2 linked regions of the Caenorhabditis elegans genome follow. The protein of the gene in region 1 interacts with the protein of each later gene in a pairwise test. Each region holds a gene or a part of one and is shown in the gene's direction. Other genes may lie near its edges. The genes, in order: F33D4.6 and C06E4.2.

Region 1 (9,624 bases):
GTATTCCCAAAATATCTGAAATTTTTTAGAAAACTTTATTTTATTTATTTAAATTTCGTCTCGAAAAGTTTTGAAATTTTCAATATTTGGTGTTCTTTTTAGAAATGGCGTCATTCACATCACCCGACATCGATGAGAAGCTTGCAATTCTTCACAGAGAAATGGCATCTCTACGTGTCGAATGTGACCGTCTTCTCAACAAACATCTCATCGTTGAGCACACTCTTTCACAGGTAAACATAATTGTTTATCACTTGGAACACTTGGATTTATCACCAGTAGTTTCTTATTTTCACTAAGAGTCAGTCGTGAAGTTTTTATTGCTTGTTTTATAGATGTTTTGAACATTCACGGCGAACTTTACGAAAAAAAAACAAAATTACGTTTGTTCTTGAATAGTTTTTGTGGTTGTTTTTTGATAGCTGCACGTCCAACGGAAATAATTTTTGATGTAGTTCGCTATTTTAGAACTGTCAATACTTGAAAAATATCTATATGAATGTCAAAGTAACTTACTAAAAAATTTAAATCTACTCATAAATTATCTGAACTGACAAAACCGAAATTATTGATTTTAATTAGATTTGTTTTCCAAACACTTTGAGATATAAATATAACTGGCAAACAACAAAACTGCTCAACTCATCCAAAAAACTAAAAAAGCTTTAAAAATCCAGGCAAAGATTCTATCTGAAAAAAATTTGTTCTTGATTTCAGAGTTGCTCTGGTTGGCCGAACGGAGCTGCTGATACTTCTTCAGCGTACAATACGGGTGGTGAATCTTGTAGAAGTGTGTCAGTGACGCCCGATGGTGTTTTTATACCCACAACCAGGTTGGTTAATTACAATAATTACGCAATAAATATCTTTTTGATTTTTAAAGTAATTCTCAAATGATCCAGTCACAACCATCTCCACGAGTTCTCCGTCGAACTGTTAAGATGGCAAGTCCAGCAGTTCAACGACGTTTAGTTCCACAAAATCTTCCAACATCATCTTCATCTCGACCTCCAACAGTTCTACTTCCTCATGACAGTCCTGAACAACCCAGTCGACCAATTCACAGAATGCATCAGGAACTTCCGATTCCAGAAGATGTTGTGTCAATGGTGTCATCAAATAAAACTCAGAGATCTATTATCCGGGCTCCATCTGCCGTTTTTGGAGCATTAAAAGGAAGCAGTTTGAGGAAATTATCAATTTCTCGAAATATTCAAATGACTACTAAAGTCAATAAAGAAGAAAGTGATCGAAAAGAGAAAGAAGCTGAAGAATACGCGAAAAGATTCCGAATTCCATCGTATTCAGTTGTATTGAAAGAAGAAAAACGAAAAAGTTCTTTCCGAATTCCAGTTCCGCATTACTTTCGATCCTCAAAAGCGAAATCAAAAGTATATCAAGTTGATGCTCCAGATGAAGAAATTGAAGAAGTTATTGATGAAGAGAAAATGGCTGCAAAGACTGATTTGGGAGACACAACTGTTCATTACAAATGGAAAGTTAAACGAAGATGTGATGGATCAAGATATATTGTCAAAAGACCAATTCGAAGTCAAATTTTGAAAAAAAGAGAAGCACAGGTGTATCGTGAACGAGCACCAATTTCAACCGATGATGATGCAATGAGCGAATTAAAGGTTTGTCACTGAAAAATATAAATTAATCTGCATTTCAAATAGCTTTACTGATTCTTTTCAGCTTGGAAGGTATCACACGAAGGAAGAAAGAAAAAGGATATTGGAAAGAGAGAACACGAAAAAAATGTTGAAGCTTCAGCAAAAAATGATGGAAAAGGCACATCCGTCGGAGCAGGTAATGTTGTTTTCTTTTGAAAGAAATAGGTTTGTGGTGTGCCCTCACAAAAGTTTATTTTTTAATGAGGAAATTATCAACAGAAGTGAATACAAAAAGATTAGGCTTCTAGGCAGACATTGAATCACTCTCAATCATTATAAAATCCTACAGAGCAAGCGCGAAGAATATAGGTCACAATTAACCGGCATACAGGCCGGATAGATCAAACTAAAGATCTTGTGTGCGCGGGACCACTTTAATAGATCGGAACGTCAATTGGTGTCAATTTAATATTTTCAAAATCTTTTCGAAAACACACATTCTTACCCGATATAACATTTTTAATGCAATTTCAGTTTCACAATTAAATAAAAAATTAATTCACAAGATACATTTTTAAATAGGACGACTTTGAGATGACCAATACTAAAAGTTTGGACCAAATTATTTCGGAGTTACATTGAGCATGAAAGATAGAAATTTTCAGAAAGATCTGTTGAAATCTTTTACTATTGAATTACACTATTGTCGTTTCAAAGTCAGGAGTAACGTGTTGAACATTTTTATTCAAGAAAATATTTCAAATTGATATTTTGACTTTCCATTGTCACACTTAAAAAAATACTTAGCCAACATTTTGGAACAATTGAATGAAAGGTTACAAATTTAAAAATAATCTTAGTTTCTTACATTTATTATTTTTCATCTTCTTGAAACAATATTTTTTCCAGGTAATATATCAAATGTCACAACAAAAGCTTGCTCGCCAAAAAGACGCAATGGTAATGGATGAATTTGTAACAACAAGAGAAGTACTTTCAAGTCGAACACGCCCAGATGGTATTCATGGAGTTGTTTCAGTCACAACCGTATAAACATTCATATTTTCTCATATCTTCTCGAAAAGCCTACTTCACAAAATTACGGATAAATTCTTATTTTAATTCACTGTTTCAAACAATTTTTAAAAGACACAACCAATCGGCAAAATAATTTCATGTGACCTCAAATTCGTCCCACCTTTCGAATATCTACGAATTTTTTTAAACTCGCTGGTTTTGTATGCCGACCTGAAACTGTCAATTTTTTTTGAGCACTAATGGTGAAAAATATCGAGAGCGAATTTTTAAAAGAATATTATGGAGTTGTGTTTATATGTTTACATTATCTTTTTTGTTAATCCTGCAGTCTAATACAAAAATAATTCAAATCAGAAGCGGGAATGATTTTGAAGTAGAACAAGTGGATTTAATAAGGATTGACCAATCTCCCCCACGTCTACAAACTTAAAACATTTTCTCCTCGAGGAGGTCTCCGCCGTTTTGTTTGGTCATTCAAGAAAGCGAGTTTTTTGATAGTGTATGTTCGTGGATCGGAACACTTGATAACAGAAAAAGAATGGATGAAAATGAAAATGGAAAAAGTCGTTAGTAGTTTATTTCTGTCAGATAGAAACTAAACAAATAAAAACGAAATGTAAAGTAGTAATGAAGTTAATTGTGAAACGGAAAAACCATGCAAATCAGGTAAATGAGATTAAAGTGACCATATAATTTTGAAGTAAATCCAAGAACGCTTTCTTTTTTTGGTGAAATTTTTGAATTTGGATTATTTTTTCTAACTCGTGTTATAAATAACTTTTATGACAAAAACGATTTGAAGTTTGATAGGCAAAAATATCTTCCTACAAAGTGAATCGTAAATTGACAGAATCTTTAGGTACAATGAACTAAAATTCCATATCTTACATTGCTACGAAATGAACATAAAATCTACACATGTGGTTCGCCATTTTTAAATACTTTTGAGCACTAATATTTTAGATGCGTTTTTCAAATAGCTAGTTTTCCTGCGGTGACACCAAAATTTCAGCAATATTTAGTAGAGACCTCGGGAGGTGACAATTTCAAAAATATAAAATATAAAAATAAAAAATTCTTGATAAGTATTGCCCTTATTACAAGTGTGATAACTACATTTCATAAGTACTTTTTAACTGCGAAACATCTGTATAAAATACAAAAATAAGCTACGATATTTGACAAAGGAATTCCCGAAAAAAGTGAGTTTTCATCGCCACAAATTTATTCATAATTCTCCGAGACCTGATCTTGAAAATTGCATTCGATTCCGACACGTTTTTACGTGAAGATAAATGTTTTGTTGGGTCATAAACGGAAATATCTATCTCCGTACCTTATCTATCACTTAATTTAGCAGCTAACATAGCATCTTTTTCTTTCTTTTTTTTAATAATTTTCACGCATCTTTCTCTATATCTCTTCTATCCAGAATGTGCGTATTCAAAAACTGGCTTGTTTGTTTCAAGCGGTGGCGTCGTCGATTCCGATTCTCGTATTTCCCTATCAGGCTTCTCCTCTCGATTCTTTGCCCCCCTAAAAGAGAACTTGATCGAGACCTCTTTTTGCGAATATTCTTCTGAGATCTTGTGTGCGTTTCTCTTTTTGTTGCTGTTTCTTCCTCCCGCCTCCTGTGCCTTCATAGAGTCAGTCACAATTGGTGATAATAAGATACATTTCATTGTGTTTGAAACTCCCAATTTCATTCTTCATTAGGTGATTCTCTTATGTAGATTTGAGCCTTTGACTCTGAACTTTTTTTTTTAATTTTTACCGTTGAAACGCTAGAAAGTGATAACCAATCACCATATCCGGTGTTTGTTTCAAAGTATTATTATTGTTCTTTAGAATTTGAATCTAGCACCCTAAAACGGACAGTAGAAAATTTTGAAAATTCCAACCTTTTTTGGTGATAAAATTGTCGCTTACTGTCGCTTACCTATGCTTTTTGTTAGGCTAGTTTACCAGGTCCATCTACGCCTCACGTCCAAGAGTTAAGATTGGACAAAGAAGGAGTATCAAAGAAAAGACGGCAGGTTACGTTAGGATTACTGTAGAAGTTTTTCTACTGCTATACAATTATCCAGTGTTGCAGAACTCCTTTCACACTTTTCTCTACGCATAATCGAAGATTTGCAAGCCCACATTAGCGCATGCAAGCAAGATTACATGCTTATCTAAAAACCGATCGGGCTAATAGAAACCGTCATTATTATATATAATATCTTGTTTCCGTTTTTCGTCACTTATGCCTCATGCATCAAATTCACTCTGAATAGAGTGTGGAAAAGATGGACGTTAGCATTTTCCTAATAGTTCTCCTTCTCTCACTTCTAATTACCAACTTTCTCTCGGTCCACACGTAATTTTTCTATTTATTTATGTACAGGTAGCTTGGTGAAAGGGGCGGGATGAAGTAGCCGACAGACATTCCCCCGGGTTGAACGCTTCATTTCCTTTTACTTTTGGATTCTTTCCGGGGCTTTCTGGCGTTCATTCTTCTTCATTACCCATTTCATTTGGTACTTTTTGTTTGAACATCTGAGAATTGATTCTTGATTTTTTTTTTCATTTTGTCCAAACTTCGTGGTTTTTTTTTTGTTTTTTAGGACTAATTAGAATTAAATGTATGTTTCAGATGAGACATCTCTTTGTATTATTGCCAGCTCTTCTGGCAATTACTAATGCTCAAGATCATTCAATTGACATTCGAGCACTTGTACGAGATACAATTGATGCAATCAAAGAAGTTCCAGAGATGATGAAGAATCAGAATCAAACATCCACAAGTTCTACGCCAGACGTATCCACTCCTCAACCAGAGAAAGTTGTCAAGGCTCGCGAAGATGTTTATGATTCCCTTTTGAAACTTCCTTCTGATATTATGTCTCAACTTGCAAGAGATGCAGGATTTGTTAGCGAGAAAGATCAGAAGATTCAGAAAAACGCTGAAGTATCAGAGAAAAAGAAAGAAGAGACCGAAAGAGTTGAAAAGAAGAAAGAAGATGACGAGTCGTTCAGCTTCAAGACGGTAAGTAAACATTGACAGACAAGGCAAAGTACATCCGGGAACATATCCAATTGGGTGTGAAAGTTCTTCGCAATCTGTCATTCAAAAAAGTTATTGCTTTCACTTTCAAAGCATGCTAACTAAAATTGTTGAAACAAAACAAGCATTACAGGTAGATGACGTTAAAAAAGAAGAAAGAAAAGAAGAAATTGAACGTCCATCTGTTGCAGCAAAAGCTGATGATAATGAGGATATCTTCTCCATCTCAAGGTAAACTTTCAAGTTGAAGGTAACCTTAACTGTATGGCTTTGCATTCAAAATATTTTAATTGCATGTTTTTTTGCAAGATCAATAATAAGTGCTGGCAAAAATAGATAGATAACTGAAAAACTAGAAGTGTTAGAAAAACAAAATGCTGAAAAAATACATTTTCTTTAAACATAGTTGAACTTTTTTGCAAGCATTTATAGAGGTGTCGGAGTTTTCCTGCACTGCAATTTTAACTAATTATACTGATTTGAAAACCATTTTTAAATGTATATATTTTTCTTATTATTTTAGCTCTTCAAATATATATTTTGGGAACAAACCGTTTCCTGTAAAAACTCAAAACGAATTGAAAGTAGTCTTGTTTGGAAATTTGCATTGAACTCTACTAGTAACTAACTACAATAACCATCCATTCCAGACTTATATCAGCTACTGGAAATGCAATCAGAGAAGCACAGGCTGCTCAAGCTGCTCAGAAGCCGCAACAGACTCCACAACAGGAACCAATGATCACCTTGCCACCTCTTGTTCCATTGCCACCAGTACCACTTCAAATGCCCGCTCTTCACATGTAAGACAGCTAAATGTCATTTTGACTTCATCTTTTTCATGTTCTTGACGTTTGACACTCACTAACCAGCTAAACCGGTTTAAAAAGGGGGAAGTGAAAATGTCGGGTGGCGTTGGTCAAAGAAGAAGCTAAGAAACAAGGGTTTGTGAGTGACCGTTTGTCATATTTCAGACCAACAACTGCCGCTCAACCAGTCACTGAAATCATGTATCGTCCGGTAACCAGAGACGGAAAGACGTGAGTATTGAAAGCACACTGCTTGTCAAAAATGTTTTGTCTTTTAGTGTCTACGAACAGGTTGTTGTTTTGAAAGAAGCGAACGGATCAGTCAAAATTCTTCCAAACACCTTGCTTCAACAGTTACCTGAAGTTTCGACAAAGAGAGTAGAGATTAAACAAGTGGTTCGTCGGGCTTTGTATAATTGAATTATCGCGTTACCAATTTTTTTTAGAAATCCCGGTCTGAGGCTACTGAATTCTTGGCCCCAACATTCCCTCCAATGGTAAGTTAATATTTTTCATGAATTTCAATACTTTTGTTTTACTACATATTTGGAAAACGTTTTATCAGTATCACTTCAAAGCACGAATGACCAGGACTGCGCAGCAACAGTGTGCATGTTCTCCGTTATTTTACATTAAATTTCGAAGTTGTAATATAGAGAAATATTTACTTTATCTGAAAATGCGTTTTGTTTGATTTGGGACTGATTTGGACTGAGAAAGTGCTCAAAAATTATCTGAAAGTTGAAATTATCTGGGGGAACATTACCGAAAAATTGTTCGGCAATTTTCACCAGCAATTTTGAACTCATACGATTTTTGATTATTTTTCCAATTTATTCAAATAAAATGGTAGTTATTTTTCAATAAAGTAAATAATTGTCTATACTTTATCATTAAATTTATTGACAAATATCGGGGAACAAGTCCCACTGTCTTATTTTGTAGAAGTGCTGAAGTGGCTCCATAAATGCATCCAAGAAACTGAAAAATGAAAGTAAAAATTTGAAAAAAAAACCCACACAAAAACTACAAAGTATAGTTTCAATTCCATTATTTTCAGATCAACTTGTTCACTGATCCAACAACCACTACCACTCCAACCACTACCGAAGAACCAGAAGTCACGACAATTGAAGAAGTTGAGCAAGAGACAATTAAACCAAAACGCAAGTCCCTTCCAAGACGAAAGATTCATTATCTTGAAAAAAAGGGAAAAGACATGCATTCTCGTCAATTTGGAGCAAAAACTGTTCAGATGAGTGATCCAATCGATATTCAAGCACAGGAGGAACAGGAACCAGTCAATATTCTTCAAAAAGAGGTAAGTCTTATTTATTCTCTCTCTCTTCTTGGTATACTCTGTTCATTCTAATCAATCACATTTGCTAATCTAACACTTGTCTCAGGGAAGCATTCGTGTGTACAGCATCAATCGTAAAAGAAAGATTCGCAAACCACGTGTCGTCAAAGTTGAAGAAGTAACTTTTTGTTTTATGCACTTTTAGATGCCTTCGGATAAGTTAATTTTGGGGGCCTTTTTAATTTGCACTCAATTGCTGTCAGCACGTTAGCTGCAAATTCAACTAATAACTCATTTGGGAATATCTTTTTAGTTTAAAAATCCTCATTTTTATCATTTCAGAATGAAAAGGTTGAAGAGAAACCAGTTGAGGAGGAAGAAGAAGCAACGACTGAACCACCAAAGAAGAAGAGAAAGATGAGAAAGAGTCACAAAACATCAAAGAAAGAAAAGAAAGAGATCCGCAAGTTCCCAGATCTTTATGACGAGCAATGGAAGACCCAAGTGGCTCCAAGTGTTTCCCCACCATCCGAAGAGTTTGCTGAGCAATTCGATGGAGTTGATGAGGTTCAAGAGAGCCCAAAAAGACAGGAAACAACCCAACAAGAAGTTCAAAATGATACTCCAATGAATGATGCTATCGAACAGAGAAGCAGCAAGGTTCAGATGTTGACAAAAGAGCAGGAAGAAGAACTTTTGAATAAGGAGGTTAGAAAGAGAGTTATGAAGAGAATTCGTCTCTCAAAAATGAAGACTACAACCACAACAACTACTACTGAAGCTCCAACAACTACACCAGAAGAAGAAGAGGAAGAAGTTGTGACAGCTGCCGTGGAACAGGAAGAGGAAGATGATGTTATTGAAGCAGAAGAGTTAGTTGAAGATGAAGAAGAAGATGTAACAACCACCACCACCACTGAAGCTCCAGTTACACGTGCTCAACGTGTCAAGAAAAACAAAAAGAGAGCTGTTGTGACAAAGCATCAATGCTTGAACCTTCGTAGCTTCGCACGTCAATTCTTGTTTGATACCGTTGAAGAGTTCGCAAAAGAGCACTGTTACTTTATTGAGAACTATTATCCAGCACTAACATGTGCTCGTTCTCATGCTTATGTTGCCAAGTGCCAAAAGTGGTTGAAAGAGGAGTAATTAATTAATACCTTTATATTAATTTTTATTTTGATTTCGATCCAGATCTACGTGTATTTGTTTGTAATATTTTCTCCATCTTTCTGCCCTTGACTTTTGTGCAATTTTCTCAAAAACTTTCTCATGTTAATAAGTGTGCAATATGTGCAATAATTCATGGTTAATAAATGGTTATTCAAAAGAACATAATTCTCGTATCAGAGGATCCAATTGAGCAATATCTAGTCCATAAAACACACGAAGTAAGGTCCTATTCACACGATGAAGCTCGACGACTTGATTCAGAAGATTACTGTATGCAATGTCAGCACGTGATTTACCATATTCAAATGTAAGAAGTCTGAAAGTAGGACAATATTAAAAATGTTATAATCAAAAAGTTATACAATACGTGCTTTTCTCGTACAGTACTTACTTCAAGAGCATCTGGAAATATTTTGCTTGTGTTGAGTGCACTCGTTTACTATCACGTAAGTTGGAGACATCTGAATTAATAACTTTAAAACGAATCAATTTTGAAAAACTGGCTCACGAGGATGAAATATAACAGCTGCATTGAAAATGAGCATCAAATGTTCATTATTCCTCACATCTTCTCCAAACGTTGAAAGCAAGTTCATGTGTGCTTTGTAATGTTCTTCAAGTTTTGGATTCTTAAGAACT
Region 2 (9,624 bases), 440 kb from region 1:
TAATATTAGAACTCCATGTTTTGCTAGTACTTGACAAGTTTGAAAAAAATAATTACAGTTTCATAGAAAGCACAAAAATCGACAGAAAAGCGGTAATTTCTCTGCAGAGTATGAATTAAGAATTAGAATTATTTGAATATCAGACATCTCTTCCTGTTGGCCAATGCCCTCTCATTATGGGTGTTCAGAAGTGTGTGCGCATAAAATGAGAGGTTACTTCTAGACTAAAGGGAAAAGTTGGAACTAAATAGTAGGCGTTGAGGTGTGTGGTTCAACATACAAATTAAGTTATAAGGAAGGGTTTCAAGGAGGAAAGGTGATGTGGTCGAGTAGAGGATATCACATAAAGAATGTGAATCGACGATTTTTTATTATTGAAGTGAATTTTTTCATTGCAAAAATATAAGAAAAGTGGATATAATTTTACAGGAGTAGAAAATTTTGAAAAATCCAGTTTTCAGTCAAGCACAAATGTAATAAAGCATTATACAAATATATTTGCTAAATCGCTAGTAAAACTGTGAATTCTAAAATCTCCGATATAGGTTGATTTAAAATTATTGTTTTATACTTTTAGAGAAATAAAATTACTGTTTCATATTAACTAAATAATCAAATCACCTAGAACAGTTCATTGTCAACTTTTCAATAACTTTGGCTTCCTTTTCTTAACTCTTAGTGAATAAAATATTTAAGAAAAATGAATAAAAAATCAAATTCAAGCATGATTTATTAGCTTAAAACAAAATTTGTTGAAATAAATCAGAGAACTTCCGCGTATACGGACGTTAATCTTTCATGAATACAGATGAACTGGAAACAAATTTGGAAAAAAAAGAAGAATAGACGAAATCACTTATTAATTCTGATTTGATGTTTTTTTTTCAATCTCAAATGACGATTTCAGAAAAGTGATCAGTGAAACACTGTTTGGAGGATTTTCTCAACGAAAAAAAGCCAAATTCCTTACAAGCGTTTACTGTTAGCTACCATTTTTAACCAGGAATACTGATCGCTTGCAGGAAATTTTTTCTATATTTCTAGAAGAGTAAAAAATGAAAAAAAAAACTAGAAAGCCCAAGAAAGTTAGATATAAAATAGTAAAAATTCCAAAATTCTAAACATAAGCTATAATCGAGACTTTGAAAAGCAGAAAAAATTGGAACGTGATCTGACTGAAACGCATTTGGAAATTTGAAGAAAGTCTAATAGTTCTCTGAACTTAGGCCTTAATGAAAATTGAAAAGTCATGTCTTGCCGTTGTACTCTCAGGAATCTCATCTCCGTTTCTTCGACTTCTTCTTCGTTTAAAATTTCGTCATTTCTGGTCATTCTCCGCCCTCCGGACGCTGTTAAATGAATTTTCGGAGGCCGTCTGTGCTCCAAGCTCGACTTGAGGATGACCCGATTTTATATCTATTTTTCCCTATTTTATTTGGGATGGGATGTTCTTTCCAAAATGACATTGAATCACGCAAGTGAATTCTCTAAAAGTTATAGAAACAAAAACATTTGAATTGAACAAGACGGAAATAAGAAGAAGAGCAAATATTTTGGGATATACATATTCAAAAAGAAAAGGAAACTTTCGCGTTCCAGGTCGAATTTCAAATTCCCTCGAGGACAGGAAGCAGGAGGCGATTTGTCAGATGAGATTATATTGAAAAAGTGGGGAAAATGTTGTTGTTTCCGACTGAAATGGATGGCGGATCTTATTTTTGTGAACTATGAGGATGTTCAGAGAACAGCCAACACAACATAAAAACCTAGGAGTTCCTAAAAATGAGGTTACTGGAAAAGAAGCTTCAAAATGGCACATAGTTTCATTTTCCAATAGAATAGTTGTTTTTGAGAGTTAATACTGGGAATCTTTACACTGAAACTCGATAAGTATGCATTTGCATTCTGAACGAAAGGTGTAAAAAACATAAAGAAAAAACCTATAACTCTTCAAAACTCGGCAGTTTTATTTTTATTCTTTGGCTTGAATTTTTTTTTGAAGCACCATAACGCTTCACACAAGGAAACCAATAAGGGCAATAAGGCCGCGGAGGCGCCTCCACGCTTTGACCGGACAGAGCGTCTATGAGTACATTTTGAGGAAATATCTATACATAGCATACTACGTAAGTACCTCTTACTGTAAAATCTTTAAAATGTTGCCTAAGCTCAAAAATCTTAGGAAGGACATAGATTCAAAACATTTTTCCACAGTTGCTAAGCTTTTATATACGTATCTTCTTTAGAGAGTTAATAAACAATTCTTAGGAAAGTCTAAATTTCAGACATAAAAACAAGATTCGAATTTATTCGAATGTTTTTTATTTCAAAAAATCACAGAAAAAAGACAGTTCGATAGCAAGAAAACATTCGGAGAATTTTTTTTTCGAGACTCTAGAATTGATTCATAGAAATAATTACCAAAAATGAGAATTCGTTTATTTCGATTGCCCAATTTATTTTCAAAAAAAAACGGCATGTGGCGATCTTCTGACAGCTGTTGTTTTCGAAAAAATTCAGAAAAAATCAATTGCAACTAATTTCATATTTCTTGTAGTTTTTCTCGAGTAGAGTTACACACTGAAACCATTCGTCACAAAGAATAGTTGTCTGGAACTAGCCAGGTGTTTTCAATAAAGCAATCATACTCTATACAAAAAAGTAGTTTGATGAGAGACAATAGTAACCAAAAATAAGTGAATGGCGCGAACGGACAATCTCAAGTATCTTCATCCGTTCTTTAAAATATATATTTGATTTATTGACAAAAGGATTTTATTTCATTGTTGAACGTACAAAAACGAAGATATAAATTTTCAATAAATCATATCCTAAACGGCTGAAACGGTTTCAAAACATTTTAATGTTACCTGGAAGAAAAAAAAAGCTAACAAATATTTTTAAAATTTAGCTTGGCGACAATGAAAGACAAATATTTATCGGATCCTGCTTGAAAGTGGGTCTAAAATATTACAAATCAATGGTTCCGATTTTTTAAAACTATTACTGGTATACCAGAATTATTTTATATTTGAAATGCTTCGTTTTCCTAATAAACTTTTTTTTTTACAAAATTACTTACAACTTTTGGAATTTTGTTGTTCGAAGAGTTCTTGTGTGTTCAAATTAAAAATCGTAGTTTTTTTAAAATAAAAACAGCTTCTTTTGTTTTTGGTTTTTTCAGATTTTTTAAAAGTTTATGTCGCGACACTGCTAGTTCCGAATCAAAAATAATACCGGACATCTAATTTATTTGTTTATTATATGGTTTTCTTTCAAATTTCTTGTTATTTCAGAACAAAAAAAGACACTAAACTGCAATGTAAAAGTGGAGAAGCGGATGTGATATTTGAAAGAAAGAAATCATTTATAAATTTTGATTTCTAATCTTTATATTCATAGTAGAGATTTATATTTGAGGAGTATGATTCAATTCATCTTTGTTCTTCATTTCTTTATTCCTTTTTCAACAAAAATTGAAACAGGAAGTTGATATTTATAGATTCTTTCATATCGTTTGAGCATATTTTTCTCTCAAATCTTGAGTTGGCGGACGGGGGGAACCTCGTTATGCGATTTCGGAAGACATTTCGAAACAAATTCCAACGGAAAACGGATGACAAGTAACTCAATTTGGCAGATTTCTCCACCAGGTTGCCACTCTTCTCCTCCTTTCCTCACATGTTTGTACATTACGCTTTTCTTGTCATTATATTGATGTTTCCGATAAAATCACTAGACCGCTTTATTGACACGGCGCTTTTACCGGTTCCATGGTGTAGCGGTTAGCACTCAGGACTTTGAATCCTGCGACCCGAGTTCAAATCTCGGTGGAACCTATCGTTTTTTGCACTTTAACTTCTCACGAAACAAATAGGTTAATTGATACTTTTTAGATTTTTACAAAAACAATTCCTTGTGTCTAGTGACCTTATCACTTGATGCATCAACCAGTTAATAAAGCCCATTAACAGTCAGGTTTCTCATACACAAATCACTAAACCACGTCGTAAAATAAAAATGAAGAAGACTAATAGCATAATAAATTGTACCAGGCAGTCGGTCAGCTCCCGATTTCAATATATAAGTGTCATTTGCAGATGAATAGTTGTCTTTTATTTTTCATTTCAAGACCATCGGCCACACACACACATATTTCTTTCTTTTTTTGAAATTCTAACCCGACACTTTTCCACACGCGTATCAGATTTCACGAACGAAGAGCACCACTTTCATGCCATTGACCGGTCTTGAAAAATCCGGTGGATCCCATCATAGTCTACAACTTTATATTATTGTTTTCTAGCCACTTTTTCGTGTCTGTATCCGGAACCGAAGTGCATCAAAAGGCTGTCAGAAAGCCGTCTCATTTGACATTCATACCCATAACATGTAATGGGTTTTCCCCGTTTTTTATGTTATGATGGAGTGATGATGTTGACAAAAGCGACTCGGTTTTCAGCAGGTAGTGCAACAAAACGTTCTGAATCATGCCATTTCTCATGTTAGGAGAAGCAGATTTTGACATAGATCTAATACTTGACACACTTTTGAGCTTCAAATATCGTAAAACAGTCACACAAACTTTGTTTTGAATTTAGGAAATAATTGTAAGTTTTTAAATTCAGTTTCCTAAGCCCCATTTAGTCTCCAATATTGTTTATTTTTTCAGATATGTGAACTTAGAACCTGGAAAAATGAGCACCAAAAACTTTAACGTAAATATGCAAGTCGTTTTGAAACCCGGGCTAAACTTTTACAAAAATACAGTGCAGGCTTCAGTATGAGAAAAATGCTCCAATATGAACATAATCCCGTATTGTTTCTCTCATATTCCCGACCTCTTGAAACAGGAAGTTGCACACTCGAATGAAGTGTATTATGATGTTGATGGTATTTGGTAGTGGGAAGTAAAAGTAGTATGCACTTCCCATCCACTTACCTGTTCCTTTTCTACATTATTGTGTTTTCCGGTCAAGTTTGATTTGTATTTACACATACATACATAATTCATGAACACCACTAGCAAATCTCTGTTCAGGTTATATCAAAGAGTTATTGGTTTGGGTATAACTGCATGTTCTACTTCTTCCTCACTCAAATGTCCTTGATTTATTGTGTTCCGCTTGTTTTTTGAGAAACTGTCGTATGTGTGTCTGTTGTGTTTCAGTTTGAACTGGAACCAGTTACAAATGAAATCCCACTGAGATCTCATCATGCCATTCCTTATGTTTTTCTTTCCCATTACTTGGGGCTTTTGGAAAAGTAAAACCAAAAGTTTTCGCACTTTCTCCCTCACTGACTTCTTTTTTTTTTTGGACAAAAAGTTCCTACCTTCATTATATATTCACATCTGCCAAGTTCCAAATTCACTTTTCTCTAATCTCCATTTTGGGAGAATATGTTTTTGAAAATGACAGAGCCTGGTAAGTAGTGTTCTATGAATAGGTTGACTATCAGTTTTAAGAAAGAAAATGTTCACAACGTCCAAATTTAGGTTATTAGAAAAATAAAGCACATACAGAAAAGAATGCTAATTGTCTTTACTTTTCTTTTTTTCGCTAGCCTGGGAATGAATAGTTTGATCTACTGTGTATAAACAACAAGCAAACATCTTATGATTTGAAACATTGAATTTTAAACCCAAAAATTCAGTTAGAGCTTGTGGAAAATAGAACATTCCACTAAACTACATACAGTGCGTACAAGTTCTATACGCCACCCCCCCCCCCCCAAAATATGCCCTGTGGCCACGTGTGTCAGTTTTGGTAAAAATCTGCTAATGCCATTCGATTCCAAATCTCAAAAAACCTACTGACATTTTTTTACAGAGTGATAGCTTCAAAATTGAAGTTACTAGGTCAAAAAAACGCAAAAAAGGCCGTACAACTTCTATACGCCACCCTGAGATTTTTGTTGAAAATCAGTGATATTGCCAAATTATCAATAACTGTTACCGTATTTTCTAACCTAACACAAAACAAATTACAGAATTATTTAAACAGAACCTACAACTTTGGCAGTTATAGTATGAAATGTAAGCATTCTCCTTTAGCACTGAAAAAAATTTCAGAATTTTTGGAGGGCTGGAACGTGAGATAAGGGCGCCATCAGTGGCCGGCTCCCAAAGTTGGCTTACAGGACCAAAAAAAATTATAAAAATTCTGTGACGTGAAAATCTTATGAGAATAGTTGAAATATACACGGGTACTCGAAAATTGGAGAACAATTAAAAAAGTTGGTCCTGAAAAGGTTGATAATTTGGCAATATCACTGATTTTCAACAAAAATCTCAGGGTGGCGTATAGAAGTTGTACGGCCTTTTTTGCGTTTTTTGACCTAGTAACTTCAATTTTGAAGCTATCACTCTGTAAAAAAATGTCAGTAGGTTTTTTGAGGTTTGGAATCGAATGGCATTAGCAGATTTTTACCAAAACTGACACACGTGGCCACAGGGCATATTTTGGGGGGGGGGGGGGGGGGGGGTGCCGTATAGAACTTGTACGCACTGTATGTAGTTTAGTGGAATGTTCTATTTTCCACAAGCTCTAACTGAATTTTTGGGTTTAAAATTCAATGTTTCAAATCATAAGATGTTTGCTTGTTGTTTATACACAGTAGATCAAACTATTCATTCCCAGGCTAGCGAAAAAAAGAAAAGTAAAGACAATTAGCATTCTTTTCTGTATCTTGCAAATAATTATTGATTTTAAACCCGTTTGTTTTTGTGAAGGCAGAAGGTAGATATGTATTTCTCGTATGAGCTCGCGTTCAATTTTTAATTGATATGTGAATGCACAAAAATGTGGTTCAAACTCATCACTCAAAGTTCACACTTTCAAAAACTGGTTCAGACTTTTTTTGTTGATTTTAATATTGTGTTACTTGAAAATTTATTAGGATGAACCTCCAACGACCAAACTTGTTAGTTTGTTGTCTGACTTCATTTTTTATTCAGTAGCTGGTCACTTTTGAAAGCATTTTGAATTATTCAAACCTAATTTGTTCTATCAAGATCACGCTAGGTGAATGTAAACTTGAGTGTTTGAATGGCAAATAAATATTTTTCTGTAGAGATCGTGTAATATTATTATTCACACGAAATACAAACCTTCTACCCGTTCCGTTTGCAAGAAGCTAGCATTCACAATTAAGTAAAACTATTTATTTACATTTAAACCAACCTTCTGACATCTGTTCTCTGGCGAATTGTTTGGATTTCGGATTACTGAACGAGAGTGTTTAGCTAAGCCATTAAATTGAGAAACTGGAAATGGTTATCTAGAATGCCTAAAGATTTTTTGCAAGTTTTAAACTCTAGGTAATACCATCTGGAATTTTTCGAATTTTTGCGGCTACGTGTACTTTGGTACCGTTCCCTCGAGATACTACATAAACATTTGACACTTTCGCCTACTCATTTTCTCCATTCACTTTCCAATATCGTTTCTTCGATCTTCGGCTCTTGCGATCTTCTTCACTTTCTTATGGTAATCGAATGCTATATGTGTAATACGAACCCAGTCACCTTCTTTCATACATACATACCAAAATGAATATATATCTCGGTGATCAAACAGTTTTCTTCTTTTGTTTGCACCTTTTTGGCCACTTGCTGTCACTTAGCCAACACACGTCAAATTGGTTGTTGTTGCTCCGTGGGATTGGTTTTGTAGTGACCCTCCCGTTATCATTAAGCTTTTTCCTTATCATTTAGTATTTTAGCCATAGATTTTTTTTCAAATTTTTAATTTTCTAGTTTTCAAGTTCCTAAAAAATTTCAGGATTTGAGAAAAAACTGAAGAGCCCCTTGTTTTTGTCAGACACATTCTTCCAACAAAAAATTCTAGATTTTCCAATTCTTAACGACTTGTTTACGTTTTCTTTCCGCGAAATATTTTATTTTTACTTGCTTCATGACATGAATTTTCAATGTAAAAATTATATGAATTCTTTCCATGAAAGGGTGTTCAAACGCCTATTGAACATTTGTTTGATACCCCTACGGGTCAAATGAGTTTACACTTGCCCTTTCATCGGATTCTTTAGTTACCCTTTTTACCTTTACAACGGTTAGGGTCACCCACCACCACTGCCTTCGTCCCCTTCCTCTATTACACGCTCTTTCAATTTGGAACCCAACAACCACTGTCCGGCGGCGCCAATTATCGCTCGAGTTGCAACCAACCGGGTGTCATTTTCTCTGGTAATGACTGACATAGGATGACTGAAGAAGAGAAAGAGAGTGAAATCCTCGATTACTTTGCGTTGAGGTTGTGACCTTTTGCGAAACGGAAATGTTGAATTTTGTGAAAGATGTTGACATGAAAATTGACATCAAACAAGTTTCAATGTTCTAACTGTACTAGTTTTTGATTTACTGCTTTATTAGTATTTAGTGCCAACTATTTTTTAACTAATATCTCTCTCTCTCTCTCTCTCTCTCTCTCTCTCTCTCTCTCTCTCTCTCTCAACAAAATTTTATCATTGAAATATCAGTACGAGGTTTCTTATCGATTTGTTAGAAGATATCCTATATAAACATGTACCTATTACTCTACGAAACCATTTTGTATGAACGATTGTGGAATCATCATTTACTATATATAAAGCGCTTATTCCGTTTGTCCATAGTTTGTAGTCTGTGTAGTCTTTGTAGTCTGCGAAGTTTTAGCTTCTGGAGGGATAGTGAGTTGGGGTTAGTGTAGGGATATAGTCGGGGTACTGTAGTGGTACAATGGTGGTACGGTAGGAGTACTGCATGATTACGGTAGTTTCAGAAAAATTGGTTTTCAGCTCCAGAAGTCGGGGGCACGGCTGGTATATATATATATTTTTTTTTTTTTAAAGAAGCTATTTTCTCATAGGATAAAGATTATCTTGAGATTAAACTTCTAGGAAACTGGCTAAATTTTAATCTATATTTTCCAAATTTTTATTAGATAAGTTTCTGAATCATTTAAAGTAGTCATTTAAAAAATATTAAAATAAGTTTGAGAAAAAAACAAAAAATCAAAAGTTCTTAACTTTTGAATACATGTGATAAGATAAAATTCGCGAATCTCAACTTTTCAAAAAAAAAATTAATGGAAAATTTGAAGTTAGTTTCAGCCAGTAAGAGGTCACTCTGAAACCGCCAACACATAATTGGTACAAGACAGAAACATAGAAGAAGTATAAATTAAAATTCCCTGACCGCAGTGACTTCTTGGTCACTGAGATCTACCAATTTGAAAGTTTTTCGAGCTACTTTTAATGTTCCAAATGCATATGTGTCCATTTCTCCTTTTACCGTATAAATAATAACACGTTTTTCATCATCTTCTTTTTTTGCAATGCATCTTTCTCGTTTTTTCACCAACATCTCCCCCTACCTACCTATTACTGTGTGGCGGCCATTTTCCACAAGCCATCCCAACCATTCTCATCGCCCACTAAAGTTTTGAGGGTTTTTCGTTTTAAATTGGCGGCTTGACTTTTCTCCCCCCACGCATGCATCTCAATCCCACAATCCGCTCCTGTTTTTACTACAAATCCGGTAGACACACACACAGATCCACGTGCAGTAATGAAAAAGAAAGATTCTGTTTTTCCAACAATTTATAAATTCTCATCCCACTTTTC

What was found.
Region 2: the proteins of F33D4.6 (region 1) and C06E4.2 interact in a two-hybrid assay, tested with the Caenorhabditis elegans proteins (one large-scale study listed by BioGRID).

Annotation. Positions count from the first base shown.
Region 1 is NC_003282.8:7,713,678-7,723,301, reverse strand, and holds F33D4.6 (aECM cysteine-cradle domain-containing protein), read left to right. Parts: upstream 1-5,285; 5' UTR 5,286-5,292; coding exon 5,293-5,685; intron 5,686-5,836; coding exon 5,837-5,934; intron 5,935-6,353; coding exon 6,354-6,506; intron 6,507-6,677; coding exon 6,678-6,743; intron 6,744-6,790; coding exon 6,791-6,908; intron 6,909-6,958; coding exon 6,959-7,009; intron 7,010-7,572; coding exon 7,573-7,833; coding exon of another isoform or gene 7,834-7,884; intron 7,885-7,918; coding exon 7,919-7,990; intron 7,991-8,154; coding exon 8,155-8,961; 3' UTR 8,962-9,132; downstream 9,133-9,624. Other genes in the region: pzls-1 (PEHE domain-containing protein), read left to right, coding at 105-233, 718-833, 884-1,637, 1,699-1,812, 2,526-2,669; Nuclear hormone receptor family member nhr-8, read right to left, coding at 9,133-9,301, 9,377-9,446, 9,494-9,624.
Region 2 is NC_003282.8:7,271,560-7,281,183, forward strand, and holds the start of C06E4.2 (uncharacterized protein), read left to right. Parts: upstream 1-5,401; coding exon 5,402-5,426; intron 5,427-9,402; exon of another isoform or gene 9,403-9,544; intron 9,545-9,624.